Linked DNA regions of Mus musculus. Each later gene encodes a partner of the first gene's protein in a complex. Links are inferred from orthologs where the notes say so. Each region holds a gene or a part of one and is shown on either strand. Other genes may lie near its edges.

Region 1 (7,920 bases):
ACACTGACTTTCTTGCAACCAAAAACAAAATACTGAGTCTTATTTCTGGAGAAAAATAAAAAATTTAAAATAATGAATAATATTAATATATTTTTCTAAATTTAAAGATTGAGAATGAAGCTTATCTTAATTTTTTTGGGGGGGGGGTTCCAGATAGCCTGGGAAAGCCCTTGCCCTTTAAGCGCTAGAGTTCTAGGCCCTACTACCCCTTGCAGAGTAAGTCTCATAAGAATAAAAGGTACAAGATGAGGAGTACCCCAGCAACCTAAGATGCCCAAATCCTAGTCCAATCCCCAAGAGCCAGCCTGGGCTGCATGAGACCAATCTCAAAGATAGTAAGAGACATGCCTCTGACTATAGGATTTCTGGGTGCAGATATTGTTATCAAAGCACTATGATATACGGAAGAGGCTATAGTGAGAAGATAAGACATGCCAAAATAACACTGAAGTTATCTAGAAAAGATAACTGTCAGAGGTGAAAGGGGCTTTACACTTGAACTATGTAAGACATAGAACAACAAAAAACTAGAAGGCTAACACCGCCATGGTTAGATCGTGGAATATTCACATACTTAATAGAAAGCTGTGACACTTTGAACCACACAGTAGAAACCACCAAGACAAATACTCAGTAGTACTCGCAAGCATCCCTATCCCTTTCCATACACTGAAAAACAAAAGACTGGACGAGAGCTGCTGAGTGTAGACTGAGAGTGTCGGTGACTTGGGCTTCCACATAGTTTTCAATCTCCTTCAATGAGCATGCACTGTTCTTACAAAATCTATTAAACTCACATAATTTAAGCCCATACTAGTATTAAATACTTAAGGATTTTCAAAAAAAATATATGTCATCTAAACTGGCCAGATTAAGGACCTTAAGTTCTTTTTCCTGACTAAAACACACCAGGAAAAAAGCCTTCCACACAGAAGGCTTTGCTGGGATTGTACACAGTGCCAAGAGCTTGAAGAATCACACACAGTGCACTGAGGGGAGAGGAGAGAAGCAGACCGTCAGGAGAGCTGTATCGCAGCCTCCACCTGTCCCAGGCTACTGACTCACTGGTCATTCTTCACCCACTGAACTTCAACAGCACCACACTACACAACTCCAGGAAGCACAGCTGAACACTATTCTGTGTGCTGAACATGCCTGGGTTAGTGTAAAGCCAAGAGTAACAATTGAAGTTGTATAACTTCCCTCGGGTTTGCCTATTGTGTGGAGGGCAGCTTCTCAGGGTCACAGCCTTTTACAAAAACACATTGGGACCAGGGCTGTAGTTAATAGGACACTTGTCCAGCACACAGAATGTACTAGATCATGCCCCTGAACAGTAGGAAAAGAAAAAAAAATGTCATACACCTTCAAGAACTGTACATCCTCACTCCCTTGGGTTGAGACTCTTAAATATAGAGCTTAGTAGTAATATTATATTTGTTTCAAACTAAAAATGATGGTAATTGACTTAATCAGACCAAACCAAGAAACATCAAAGATAAAGATAAAAGAAGTCATTAGTTACGGCTATTCAATGCCTATAAAAATAGTGCCCTGACTCCATCTGCAAATGGAGACTCCCCCATTATGACATCCCACTCCTTCACTATGTTTACATTTGAACCACACTATAAAATTAACACTGACTAAACCACTGGAGCTTCAGTGAGCATCAAAGCACAGGATAAACTGCATACATTTCAAGTGTAATCTGATGCATTTGTGTACATGAGCATTTATATATCTCGATGGGACATGTCTGCACTGCCATGATCAAGGAGATCACTGCTCCCTCATTGCCCAGTGTTTTAGTTAAGTATATATCTGGGCAATATCCTGTCTGACTAACGAGGAAGCAAACAAGCACCTGAGCTATAGACTAAAGAAGCCACCTCAAAGGAACACCCTGTGTGGGGCAGGAGGGACAGCTCAGGGCCGAGAGCATGCCCAGGTCTTGCAGAAGACCTTTGGGTTCCATCACAACCATCCCAAACCCAGCTCCCCCTGCTGGACTCCATAGACGCCTACACTCACACGCACATGCACATACCCATACATATACATACCTTTTAAAAAGCAAAGTGCTTTGTGAAACTGAGTCATCTGCTAAATTAGCTATGTGTCTTAAGGTGGCTTTTGTTGTTGTTTTACATCTTCTGCGCAGATTTTGAGTTGTCTGAGGTGGGAAGGCACGTCAGTCCCTATCATGCTCTACGTTGGGGCACAGTCTCTCTTCCACCCCAGCTAGCCCTTCTGAATAAGTGCTGAAAGCAGTGCTTATTCCTTCTTGGCTCTGCACTTCCAGCAAATCCTTCCCTATGAAAAACAGTCATGGCACGTTTAGCTAGTCCAGCATCAGGCTGTCCACACTCTGTTACTGGCCTAAAGGTATGCTCACCAGACCAGGACCTAGAACTTTCAGGGTGGAGATGGCCCCGAACACCATGACTACACAATACAGAGTGACAATCTTTAGTTTAAGAAACAGGCATGATGGGGTTAGAAGACTCAGATTCAAGTCTTGTCCCAAGTCTTTGTACTCCTGTGGCATTAGCCACAAACTCAACTGTGTCAGGTGTGGTGGTGTCAGGTGTGGTGGTGCGTGGCTTGGATCCTAGCTCTCTTGGATCTCTAAGTGGGAGCCCAGTCTGGTCTCCATAGTCAGACTCTGTCTTAAAACAACAACAACAACAAAAACCACTAATGACTCCTGAGCCCTGCTTACTCTCTCTGGGCATACTGTTGTATCTCACAGGTTGTTGTGAAGCAGAAATTACATACTGGATGAGAAAGTACTTGGTAGGTTGTGAGGAACTACACAAAGATACATGGTAAGGAAGCCTGGTTCCAATATGCCCAACAGTCCCCCTGCATTCTAACACTCCATCCTCCAAATCTCTAAGCTGGTACAACACATTAAAAACTAATAAAAATATCCTTCAAGTATAATGTTAAATACTTCATGTTGGGCATGGTGACACATGCCTTTAATCCCAGCATTCAGGAGGCAAAGGTAAGCAGATCTCTGTGAGTTCTAGGCTGGCCTGCTCTACAAAGCAAGTTCCAGGACACCGAGGCTGTTATATAGAGAAAACCTGTCTCAAAAACACCAAAACCAAGCAACCAACCAACCAACCAAACAAACAAAAAACAACAACAAAAAACTTCCATATGCATATAGTGTAAATGAAACATTCATTTATAAATGTGACTCAACGTAACTTTAGAAGTTCATCACCAATCTAGTTTGCAAATTTCTTAATCTAAGACTGTGCTCTTAAAGCCTGTTTCTATTCTTGGAATTCAGCCATTGAGTGAGTGATACCGATGCACTGTTTAGGAGTCAGGCCACATACCACCCGGAAACTTCAATTTTGAGAACATAATCAAGTTCGTGAATGGCACATTACTTACATCTGTGACATTGTGGCAGGAAGTACAGTAATATTTGCCTTCATCGGTAAGGCCCCAGGAGACAGCAGCACACTGAGAACAGCGGTCTCTGAACGCTTTCTGTGGAAGATAGAAATCTGTTATTGTCGGGCCAACACACTGCACCATGGTTCTGAACTCTACTTCCAGTGTTCCTGGCAATTTCATCCCCCCAAATTAAAAAACAATCAAACTAAAAATACACAGACAGTATCTATAAATAAGGAGAATTTAGTCTCTCTCTCTTTTTTTTAAGATTTGTTTATTATTATAAATAAGTACACTGTTGCTGTCTTCAGATGCACCAGAAGAGGGCGTCAGATCTCATTAGGGATGGTTGTGAGCCACAATGTGGTTACTGGGAATTGAACTCAAGACCTTTGGAAGAGCAGTCAGTGCTCTTACTGGCTGAGTCATCTTGCCAGCCTGAGTCTCGTCTCTTTAGTAGCATGAAATGCAGTAACTATTCCATAAAACTACTGAAATATACAGAGTGAGAACAAAGAAAGAAAGGTGGACAGGGCTAGATTGGAAACAAAGATATAGGTAAACTCTCTGGGAGAGCTGAGGGAGAAAAGGATGACCCACCGTATGGATGATCAAAGCAAACAAAGATTGAAAACACTGTTGACTTTTTCTTTGGGGCACTGAGGCAGATGTGTCGAGTTTTGATTTATTCATCCAACCATATAAAGGGTATCAACTGTATGAGTACCAAACGTTTAACTGGGTGCTTAGGGGTTCTACTGGAAGCAAAAGGAGCATATGGTCCACTTATGGTCTATATGGATTATAATTTTAGGTTTATCAATGTATTATATAGACATTATTACATTTGTCATGGATACAGATAGTATCTACTGTCTACCTTGAGTCCCTCTATCATTATTCTGTCAGTGCACACACAGAGAACTGGTTCCTAATTCTTTGGTGTTTGACTTATGGGTCAGCTACTGAATACACCCATCATGTTCACAGTGCATGCAAAGTGCAGCAGCTTCCTAACCACTCTTACAGTGAGGTGTGGGCACGTGTGCTGGATAGTTTTGTGTCAGCTTGACACAAACTGAAGATATCTGAGATGAGGGAAGCTCAATTAAGAAAAATACCTCCATACCATCAGGTGGCAGGTAGGCCAGTAAGGCACTTTCTTAATCAGTGATTGATGAGGGAGGGTCCATCCCATTGTGGGTGGTGTCACCTCTGGGCTGGTAGCTCTAGGTTTTACAGAACCTGGTAAGCTGACCAAATCATGAGGAGTAAGCCAGTAAGCAGCACCCCTCCATGGCCTCTGCATCAGTTCCTGCCTCCAAGTTCCTGCCCTGTTCTTTAGATGATGAACAATCATATAGAAGTGTTAGCCCTTTTCTCCCCAGCTTGCTTTTTTGGTCATGGTGTTTCATCGCTGCAATAGAAACCCTAAGATAGCAAGCACATTAGAACGTCCTCGGCAAGAGTCTGGTGTCCGTACCCTAGACAGGCTGACAGGGATTACTTGGAGGCAACCCAAGTTCCAGGTCCTGCTCTTCCTCACGCGCAACCAGCATCAAAGGGAGCTTTGCTGGGTGGTCTCCTCCAAGGAGCCACGGGGGTGGCCAACCCACAAGCCCACAGTTTCATCCTCTTTCTGGCCCACGGCCCCTCTGAACAAACACTCCACCCAATCCCACCCGCAACCTCCCAGAGCGGACAAGCAGCCAGGTTCCGGGGCCCAAGTGGCCACCGCCCCTTCGCTCCGCCCCCTATGCGGGTCACCGCCCCGAGCCGACGCCTGCCCTGGGCGCTGCTCCTCCTCCTCCTGGCTATCCCTGGCCCATTGAGTTAGGGAACGCGAGTGGGAGCTGCACGCGTTCCTCTAGGTCCTTACCACCTCCTCCACATCCATCGAGGCTCCGCTGCAGACACCGTTACCCAAACAGCAAGCGCCGCTTCCGGGAGAGACGGGGAGAGCGCTCCGGTCGGAAACACAGCCTCTGCCTTTGCGTTCCAGGAGTCTTCTGTGCTGCCCTTGTGGGACTCAAGACCCAGGTTTCTGGCAGGCAGTACAGGACCAGGACCAGGCCCCAGTGACAGAGCTCAGACCTACGAGGATTTTCTGTGGTTTTGTTTTTGTGGCTCTGGCTTTCCCGGAACTCAGCTCAGGAGACTACACTGGCCTTGAACCCCACCTGCCTCTGCTTCCTGAGAGCTGGGATTAAAGGCGTGTGCCATGACTTCCGGCTTCTGGGTTTTACAAAATGTGTTCTCAGTGTTTGAACACAGGTTGTTGAACTAGAACTGGTTGTCTATTTGAAATTTTTTTTAACTTCCCAGATCCTAGGAACCAAACCCTCCTAGTGCATGCTCGCCAAGAACTCCACACCACTGAACATCCCCAGACCAAGATTTCTAGTCATAACTCTATTTCTTTCTTGTACCTTCACCTCCTCCTGTGTAAAAAATATATGTTTGCCTATGAATATAATTATGTCTCGTTTAATAAATTCTTAATACATTTATCTCTTGTTCCCTCGTTGAACACACTAATCCCCTGCTTCATTCCATAAACTAAAGTTGTTTTAGATTTTCCTGTGAACAAAATAAGTCTCCACCTTTGTGAACATTTATATCTGTTTATTTAATTGTTTTTGCTTATTTGTTTCCAGACAGGGTTTGTCTGAGTAGTCCTGTCTGTGTTGGAACTCACTTTGTAGATCAGGCTGGCCTTGAAGTCAGAGACATGTGTTTGCCTTTGCCTCCTGAGTGCTGGGATTAAAGGCCTGTGCCACCAGAGCCTGACATTTGTTTTAGATACTAAAAATTCTTTCCAGGGGCAGTAGAGAAGAGCTGAGATGGATTTCAGATGATAAGGTCCCCAGCAGGGTAGGCTGGGATATGTCAAGGATCCTGCAGCACTCTGGAGAACAAAGGAAACTCTTGATATTATAGATGTTAGAGGGAAAGGATCTCCAAGCCCAGAGGAGAGGGGGTCTCTGCAATTTGCAAATTAATGAAGGTACTAAAAATAAAGGGTCATAATTTAGAAAGCTAAACCTATTTTGCCTCCTCCCACCTTGGGACTACTACGTGCTAGGAGTTTAGTAGTTTACAGAGGTACTAAATAAAGTGAGGCTAATTGACTTTAATATCAATACTATGGTAGGAAGAGACAAAAATAAGAAAATCATGGGTTTGGAGAGATGGTTCAGCAGCTAAGAGAGCACTGGCATCTCTTGTAAGATTTCAGTTTGATTCCCAGCACCCACATGGCAGCTCACAACTATCTGTACTCTAGTTCCTGGGGATCAGGTGCCATTATCTACTGACGTGGGTACCAGGCACAGACATGGTGTACACATACATGCAGGCAAAACATTTACACACATAAAATAAAAATGAAATAGGGAAGAATAAGGAAGACATGTTAAATGCAGTGAGAGGGGTGGTCTGGAAAGGTCTCACTGAAGAAGGATCTTTAATGCAGATACACATTTTTTGTTTGAGAATCTGTTTTATGAAAAACCCTAAGCCAGTACATTTAAATTTTCTTTCCAAACAGGGTTGCTCCGTGTAGTCTGGGCTGTACTGGAACTCAACCTGTAGACCAGGCTGAACTCAGAGATCTGCCTGCTTCTGCCTCCCAAATGATTACAGGCTTGTGCCACCACTGTCTGCCTACATTTGAATGTTTCAAAGGAAGCTACTTTTTTTCTTTAAGAAAACAACATTAGCCAGGCGGTGGTGGCACACACCTTTAATCGCAGCACTTGGGAGGCAGAGGCAGGCGGATTTCTGAGTTCGAGGTCAGCCTGGTCTACAAAGTGAGTTCCAGGACAGCCAGGCTACACAGAGAAACCCTGTCTCAAAAAAAAAAAAAAAAAACCCAGAAAAGAAAAAAGAAAACAACATTATTTAAAAATATACAAGAAGAAATAGAAAAATCTGAATAATCTGATAGCTACTTCAGAAATTGTCTTAGGGCTGTGACGTCACTCAGTGGCAGTGTGCTTGCCTATCATGTGGAAGACCATGAGCTCAAGCTCTGAGACTGGAAATAAATGAATAATAGAAACATCAGCAAGACAAAGAAAAGACAAAAAGTGTTGACACTCCTCTGCTCAGGAACGGACTTACAGAACCAGAATTCTATATGAATCAATAATGAACAGTTAAAAATGGGCAAGAGACAAGACAGTAGAGTATGGTAGTGCTGCAGGTCTTTTTTTTTTTTTTAAAGTTTTTTTAATTAGGTATTTTCTTCATTTACATTTCCAATGCTATCCCAAAAGTGCCCCCATACCTCCCCCTCCGCATCCTGCTTCTTGGCCCTGGCGTTCCCCTGCACTGAGGCATATAAAGTTTGCAAGTCCAATGGGCCTCTCTTTCCAATGGTGGCTGACTAGGCCATCTTCTGATACATATGCAGCTAGAAACAGGAGCTCTGGGGGACAATAATAGTGGGAGACTTCAACACACCACTTTCATCAATGAACAAATCATAGAAACAGA
Region 2 (7,383 bases), on another chromosome or scaffold:
ATACACACACACTGATAATAGATTACCTTCCCTGAGCACTCCAAATACTATTCACTGAAGGCTTCTCACTAAAATCAGAGCTTCCAGATTTAGCCATCATACGTGCCTGGCTGCTAGGGTTTTGAACTTATATTTACTGTGCCAGCTACCCAGCCAAGAATTTGATCTTGAGACAAAGTTTCCATTTCTCAGATTGTACTTGAAACTTCTCACCTCAGACTCTCAACTCATAGAATTTTAGGTGTGGGACTAGTACATGGTGTATCTTTTTATCCCTACTGAATGAACATTTCTAGTTATTCTGATTTGGCATTTGAGTGATGTACTTGTACTAGCCTAGCAAAGTGAGGACGACTTTCTAGGTTGTACACATAGCAAATGTTTTTCTGAGAACTTACATGCGACCTGGAGATCTACAATTCTTTATACAAAAAACAAAACTAGTTACTTACCAAACATCTCTTTAGGGTCTTCTCATATCCATTCCTAGAGAACAACACATGACTTTTAAAAAGGCTGTCATTTCAGTTATAAAAACTGCCAAGGTTACTATGATTACCAGCTGCAGCCAGTTCTGTCAGAGTTAATGTTAGTTCATGTTTGGCTCATTCAGCAGTTGAACAGTTGAATTCATCATCTGAACTGGAACTATCTTTTCCCAAAATTAGTGTCACTAAAACTTACCTCACACTCACAACTCTAATCTTTATGAAGGAAGTGCCAGTGCCTAAAGTTAAAAACAAACAAACAAAACAAAATTAACACATCAGTTTTATACTTTGTTAGCTGTCTTGTAGTTCCTTCCCACAGACCTAACAGTCAGTCCTGTGAGTCAAGTAAAACCACAAGTTACTGTATGAGGCGTTTCCAACGACGTCTGGCTACTAGGGAAGCCCCGTCGGGATAGACCTCAAAAGCAATCATTTCAACAACTGTGAAGCTCTCCAGCCATCTTTTATATGGACATCTATGAATAGGAAATCACATTGTAATCTCAGAATTTTGCCTAGCTTAAACTCAAGGTTGCATTCTTACAGTGCTGAACTCTCAAGCTCACTTTTACTGCTTTTACTGTAGTGATTTTTTTTAACCCAGCAACATGGTTGTGCTGGCTGGAATTAGACACGCACATACCTTTAATCCTAAACAATGAAGAAAGATAAAGCACCCATGAAAGTGATGTCTAATTGAGTAGCAGACAAAGTGAAAAAGATTTAACAGAATAAGATATGCCCAAATGTCAGAAGAGAAGCAACGTAAGAGGGCAAGAGGCAATTTTTACTAGGAGAACTTTACAAAGACAGGTTAAGAGAGATCAAGCTAGACACAGGTGAATACAGAATGAGCCAAGAGTGAAGAGCCCAGATCAGAACAGATTGCAAGGTAGTTTGAGGCAGAAGTCAGAATGAATCAGTCAGCTTGAAGGAATGAGCCAGAACACCTGAGGTAAACCAGACAATATCAAGGGTGAGCTTTTTCAGCAAAGTCTCCAAGGCTGAAAACATTCTAAACCTACATCAGATTGTAAGCTTCCAAGGATAGGCCTTCTTTAGCAGATGGGCAGTAAGGCTCAGAGACAATTACATCAGGCAGATAGATAAAACTAAATAAAGTGGCAGTCTGATTCTTAGTTAACTCACTTTTCAAACACTGTATTTGTGATGTACCATGCTTGAGAAGTTTATAATATTGTAAATTGAGTATAAGACCTTAAAGCCTTATTTTTGTGTTCTTCTGCTAAACATACCTATTTCAGTTCAAATTATTGATTCTAATGTTCTAGGATTTACTGAGGGGTTGGAGCACTCTAAAACTTTCATAGAATTAGCATCACTGAAAGTTAACATAACTCCGAAGATGTAAATTTACATGCTACTTACAACACTGAAACAAACATCCATTCATGGGTATCTTCCAATTCTGACTTCATAATCAAGACAAGCCTTTAAAAAAAAAGGAATATCCATCTACTCCATTACCTTTATAAGGTAAACTATATATGATATTGCTAGAACCAAGTTCATCAATAACACCTTTGTGCTTATATTCCTTCTTGTATATATCAAAACTCATACTGAGCAATGAGTTCTGGGTTGCAAGAGGATTTATATTTTTGCACCTGTTCAACTGGCCATTGTCCAACAGCTGACAAAAACACAAGTGCTATCAAAGCTGTCCATATCTGACACAGCCAGTTTTACAATTGTGACCACAATAGGACAGTAGGAACAGTGGTAATATTCAAACCCCCCTTGGGGAAGATAAGCACTTGTTTGACTTAAGACTTGCAGACAGAACCTGGGTGTGGGTTCGAAGAGAAAGCTCAGATAATAACTTTTTTTTTATTTCTCTGAATAGTTCTGGCTGTCCTTGAACTCAGAAATCCACCTGCCTCTGACACCCAAGTGCTGGGATCAAAGGCATGCGCCACCACTGCCCATCTATGAATAGGAAAGGAAATCATATTCATAACCAACAATGGCTGGCTAATTACCATCTTGTAACTTTAGATCTCCAGGCACAGATACCTTCTGATCTTGGGTACTGCACACATATGCATGTAGGCAAAACACACAAATATGAAATAATTTGGGCTAAGCACTTAAGAGGCTGGGTTTTATCATTAGTTTATTTTTTCTAGTATAAGAGTCCAGGAGTTTAATCCAATTTTCAAATCATCTCTTCCTCCTCATAGTCATAGTGGCTGCGACAGACCACAGAGGTGGTGAACCTCCAGATACTCTAACTCTCCTTTCTTCATGACCTTGCTCTGCAGATGAGCAAAAGGGCGAGGCTGGGGTCTTGAATCTAGACATGTATAGGATTGTTAGCATTTTCCTTCCAGAATCACAATCATGTTTACTATAGTAGTAAAATAATCCTTATAGTATTTCTTACTCTGAAATCAAGCAACGAAAAAAGCTTTACTAAGTATTTATTAGCGTTCCACCAGCAAGTTTATCTTCTTCCCCAGATTAGTTCTTGATCTACTTGGCATACACTGTTATCTATGTTCTTTACCTTCTTCAATAGTCACATGTTCATTTCCTTTCAAGGTTCTTCTGTGCCCTTTCTCTCTGTGTGTGGCATCTTTGGCTTTTTTAGAAAATGTAGATTCTTTCTTAATCTTCTCTTGTTCCAAGTTTCTCTTCCTTGAGAATTCTGAACTTATTATGAAGCAACTGTCTTCCTGCATTTAATAGAAAAAAAAAAAAACAAAAAAACTAGTAACTAAACTCACTGATGGGTGAGTGCAAATATATTCCTTACTATACCAGCACTATTTTCTCATTTGACAGCACACCAGATTAGCTAAAAGTTCTTTATTATTTTATCAGAAGCTAGATCAGTGGTTAAAAATACTGGCTTTTCAGGGCTAGAAAGATGCCTCAGCAGTTAAACACCAATGGCTGTTCTTTCAGGGGTACTGCATTAAATTTCAGCAACCATATGGTAAATGTGACCTGGTGCCCTCTTCCATTAATCAGGTATACATGCTGGTAAAGCACTCACACAGTTAAGTAGAAAACAGTATAGAATAAACAGCACAAAATAAGCCACAACATTGGCTTCTTCTCTTTTTTTTTTAAAGTTTTAACAATTAACATTTACATATTAAATTGAATGTTTTTTATTTGTTTTTTTTAAAGATTTATTTATTATTATATGTAAGTACACTGTAGCTGTCTTCAGACACACCAGAAGAGGGAGTCAGATCTTGTTACGGATGGTTGTGAGCCACCATGTGGTTGCTGGGATTTGAACTCTGGACCTACGGAAGAGCAGTCGGGTGCTCTTACCCACTGAGCCATCTCACCAGCCCACTGGCTTCTTCTCTTAATTAAGACTAAGATTCAATTCCTTGCACCTACCAGTTCCAGGCACCAGGCATACACCTGGTATACTTACATGCAAACAAAACATAATACTGAGTTTAAAAAAAAAAATCTTAAGACTGGAGCCAGGCAGAGATACACATTTTGTAAGCCAATAGCAGGAGCAAAGACCATGCTGGTAGGTTAATCCACTGGTTTGAGGTCTCAAGAGGCCAGTCTAACCTCTGGCCTCAATATCCTACAAATATTCAAAGCTAGCGTTATAACTCAGCAGTATGATACCTTGGCATAAATATAAATGTGGACAAGGCTTCAGACCCCAACACTTGGGACTAAGAGGAAGAGTCACAAAAAAAAAAAAAAATCCTTGGTTATCAAATAGCCTAAATAGTAGTTCCACTCTTAAACAAAAATTCAATAGTATACAACTTGTACATTCTGTAAATGAAACAATAAAAATCAGCCACTTACAACCAACTTGATATCACATTCAGCCTGAGGATTTGTTGCTTCATCTTCAGTTCTGTAACATTAAATGGAATGTGTCACAAATCTTACCTAGTATTCTGATACCATTGAAACCTATAGTCAAAGAAAAATAATCCTCCCAAAGCTGATGTCCTGTGCACATTACCTCAGATTAAACAATCTTAAATGGACTAGAAGTTACGATTACTACTGAAGAATTTTATAGGATCTTCATTTTATAGATGGCACACCCACCCCAGCACTTGAGAGGCAGGTAAATGAGTTCAACCCTAGCCAAAGCTGTACAGTAGTGAGACTGTCTTTAAATTAGCTTAAATATGACAAACCCCATAAATTGCCCTTCAAGATCCAACTTACAATGGCTCTTCAATAGGAGAAAGTGAACCATCATCATCCATGTATTTGTGCCTCCGACTGTCAAGGTCTTCCTTTTCTAAATCTTCCCCAGCATGCATTTGCTTCAAGCATTCCTTAAGGTGGTGTTCATACTTGAGTTTTTCAATGTGGTGAAAAAATCCTCTTGCAACAGCTTGCTGCAAGTTAGAACACACAATTCCTTAAATATTAAAACATCATATACTAATTATAATCAAGTTTGAAACTGTACCAAGAGGCTAAATAAACAATGGCTTGCCGTTCATCAAAAGGACCAGATGTGAGAGCACAGAAACCACGTAAATGTTATGTGCATGATGGTTCTACTGTAATTCCAGACTTGGGTAGTAAAGACAATAAGAACAAGGTGAATAGGAAGACAACCCAAACTGGCAAGCTCTGCCATGTCTGCACGTGCATACACAAATAAATACAAAGTAGACATTAATCACTGATTACATTTTCCGACCACTTGCAACCATTCAACAGTTAATACTCAAACATTTGAGAAACCTAAGTAGTATCTGGGTACTTGGGTTTTTCTCTCTAGCCCTTGACTAGTTAACTTTTAACTGTCAATTTGGCATAGCTCTGAATTACCCTAGAAGGGATCCTCAACAGAGGATCTTTGTATGATTGCCTAGATTGTGGGTGGGTGTTACCATTCTGAGCAAGAGGTCCTAGGCTAACAATGCCCAGGACCAGCAGCTTCCTTCATGGTCCTATTCTCCAGCCCTTCCTGGGACTTCTAAAAGTGGGCCTTAAATGGTACCATACCTTCTCTCTCGCCTGTACTCAAAGGATTGACTACTGCTGAAAGCAAGCTGGGTGTGGTGTGCTTCAGAATAGTCTAGAGATAATATAAGGGACCTCAAGGGACCCAGCTGGAGTACAACTCCATAAATCTGTGTGCACACTGATAAATATGCTTGTGCACATTTCTCTAGTGATGCAAGAGATGAAAATTGGAGCACTTTATATGGATGTCACTATTGTTAAAAGTAACAATCTGTTTCAGGTGTCCCTCAAACAATTAAGAATGGCCAACAAACCATTCAATCTTACCTAATGTATTCACCTACATTTAAAAAAAAAACTCACCTCATATGTTAAAATTTTCTTCCAAGGTAAAGGTTTTCTTCCACTCTCAGATTCTAAGAATGGAAACACAGCTCCTTTGTCTTTAATTTGTTTTGCATCTATTTGCGACCTTCTAGTGATCCTCGTTCCCGATGGTTTTCCTCTTGGTCTTCCTCTTGGTCTTAATTTTGGCTCATATTTTCTCTTTTTCCTCTTTTTCCGTTTCTTTTTTTTAAATCTTTCAAAAATAGCCTTTAAAGTCAGAGGCCTTGGTTCTATAGAAGAGTCACTTGATGAATCTGTTTCAACACTTGCAGGTAAAGTAACACGTTTCACAGTAGGGTGTCTTTGCTTTTGTATAGGTGAAGGAGCACACTGAGTTTTAAATAAGCTGCCATCAGAGGAGTCATCACTAAAACAAAAATGAAACTGCATCAGTTATCATTAGCTATAATCCTCCCCGAGTTTCAAGGCCATGCTCCCAATCATGCATTCCTTCAGTTCACAGCTCCAACAGCCTTTACTGCCCTTAGAACACCAGACAAAAGCATGACAAACCTAAAAACCATGTTAAAATTTCAAAGTGCATTTCTTCAAAGATCAACCCCCTAAAATCATACCCAGCATTTTAGAATAGATTCAGTACCAGTTAACCACTAGTACTTACTATTATATCTAAAACAAGACAGTTGGTTAAAATGTTCAGTTTTAACTTTCAAAAGCACCACTTAATCACTAAAGCTTCCACTATCTACCTACTAAACAAAAATGGGCCAATAAAACCAGAACTAGCCCCCCAAATGTAGTTTTCTTGGAAAAAATAAACTATGTTCCATTCCTACATGTTCAGGTTGGTAGAATTATACAGTTTTAATCAAACTGTCAAGCTAATATAAATGCTAATTGAGGTTCTCTCTATCTATTTTAAGTACAAGCATTACAAATAACTTGCTGGAGTGCAGGGTGTGGTAACATGCCTTTAATCCCAACTCTTGAGAGGTAGATGGGCAGGATTACCTGGGTGAGGGCAGCCATGGCTCTATCTACTGAGATGTCTCAAAAATAAATTGAACATTTGGACTGAATCTCTAGTTTACCCACAAAAGCTACCTTACCTTTGGTCTCCAGTATCTCCAGCTCTATCCGATGCCACACAGACAGAATTCACTTCTGATTGAGCCATCACTTTTCGCGGCCTTTCCCAATTTTCTGCAATCACAGATTTCAATGATGTACCAGCAGTCTAAGTTCAGCATACTCCTTCCCACTGTGTGAATTTCTGTAAAATCCCTATGGATAGTACATTTTATATCTACTTTAAAGCCTCTGAGTGGGCTTGTTTCCAGTATCCACATCGGGTTGCTCACAATCTCCTGTTAACTCCAGCTCCCTGTTAGTGATCTTTTGTCTTCCAGAGTACCCTCACACATATGGCATAGTTTTCTTTAAATATGTGAGTGAAAACAAGAAGCCACATTCCAATGCAGTTTGTTTTCTCACTAAATCTACCCCCAAAACCCGACATGGCTTTAACCACCACCTAGCCTCACAGTAGCATTTCTAATTCCAATCTGGGCTGCGAACTCGACACTGAAACAGAGTT

What was found. Proteins that work in one complex are often made in the same cells at the same time.
Region 2: Taf1b (region 1) and Taf1d share a complex: the UniProt entries of both Homo sapiens proteins name them as parts of the transcription factor SL1/TIF-IB complex. The link is inferred for Mus musculus from reciprocal best matches to the Homo sapiens genes TAF1B and TAF1D.

What each region holds. Positions count from the first base shown.
Region 1 is NC_000078.6:24,496,029-24,503,948, reverse strand, and holds the start of Taf1b (TATA box-binding protein-associated factor RNA polymerase I subunit B), read right to left. Parts: upstream 5,369-7,920; 5' UTR 5,318-5,368; coding exon 5,300-5,317; intron 3,514-5,299; coding exon 3,415-3,513; intron 1-3,414. UniProt on the Homo sapiens protein: Component of RNA polymerase I core factor complex that acts as a GTF2B/TFIIB-like factor and plays a key role in multiple steps during transcription initiation such as pre-initiation complex (PIC) assembly and postpolymerase recruitment events in polymerase I (Pol I) transcription.
Region 2 is NC_000075.6:15,307,334-15,314,716, reverse strand, and holds the end of Taf1d (TATA box-binding protein-associated factor RNA polymerase I subunit D), read right to left. Parts: intron 6,990-7,383; 5' UTR 6,964-6,989; coding exon 6,896-6,963; intron 6,193-6,895; coding exon 5,802-6,192; intron 4,859-5,801; coding exon 4,683-4,858; intron 4,360-4,682; coding exon 4,308-4,359; intron 3,191-4,307; coding exon 3,022-3,190; coding exon of another isoform or gene 3,005-3,021; exon of another isoform or gene 2,809-3,004; coding exon 2,696-2,808; 3' UTR 2,613-2,695; downstream 1-2,612. UniProt on the Homo sapiens protein: Component of the transcription factor SL1/TIF-IB complex, which is involved in the assembly of the PIC (preinitiation complex) during RNA polymerase I-dependent transcription.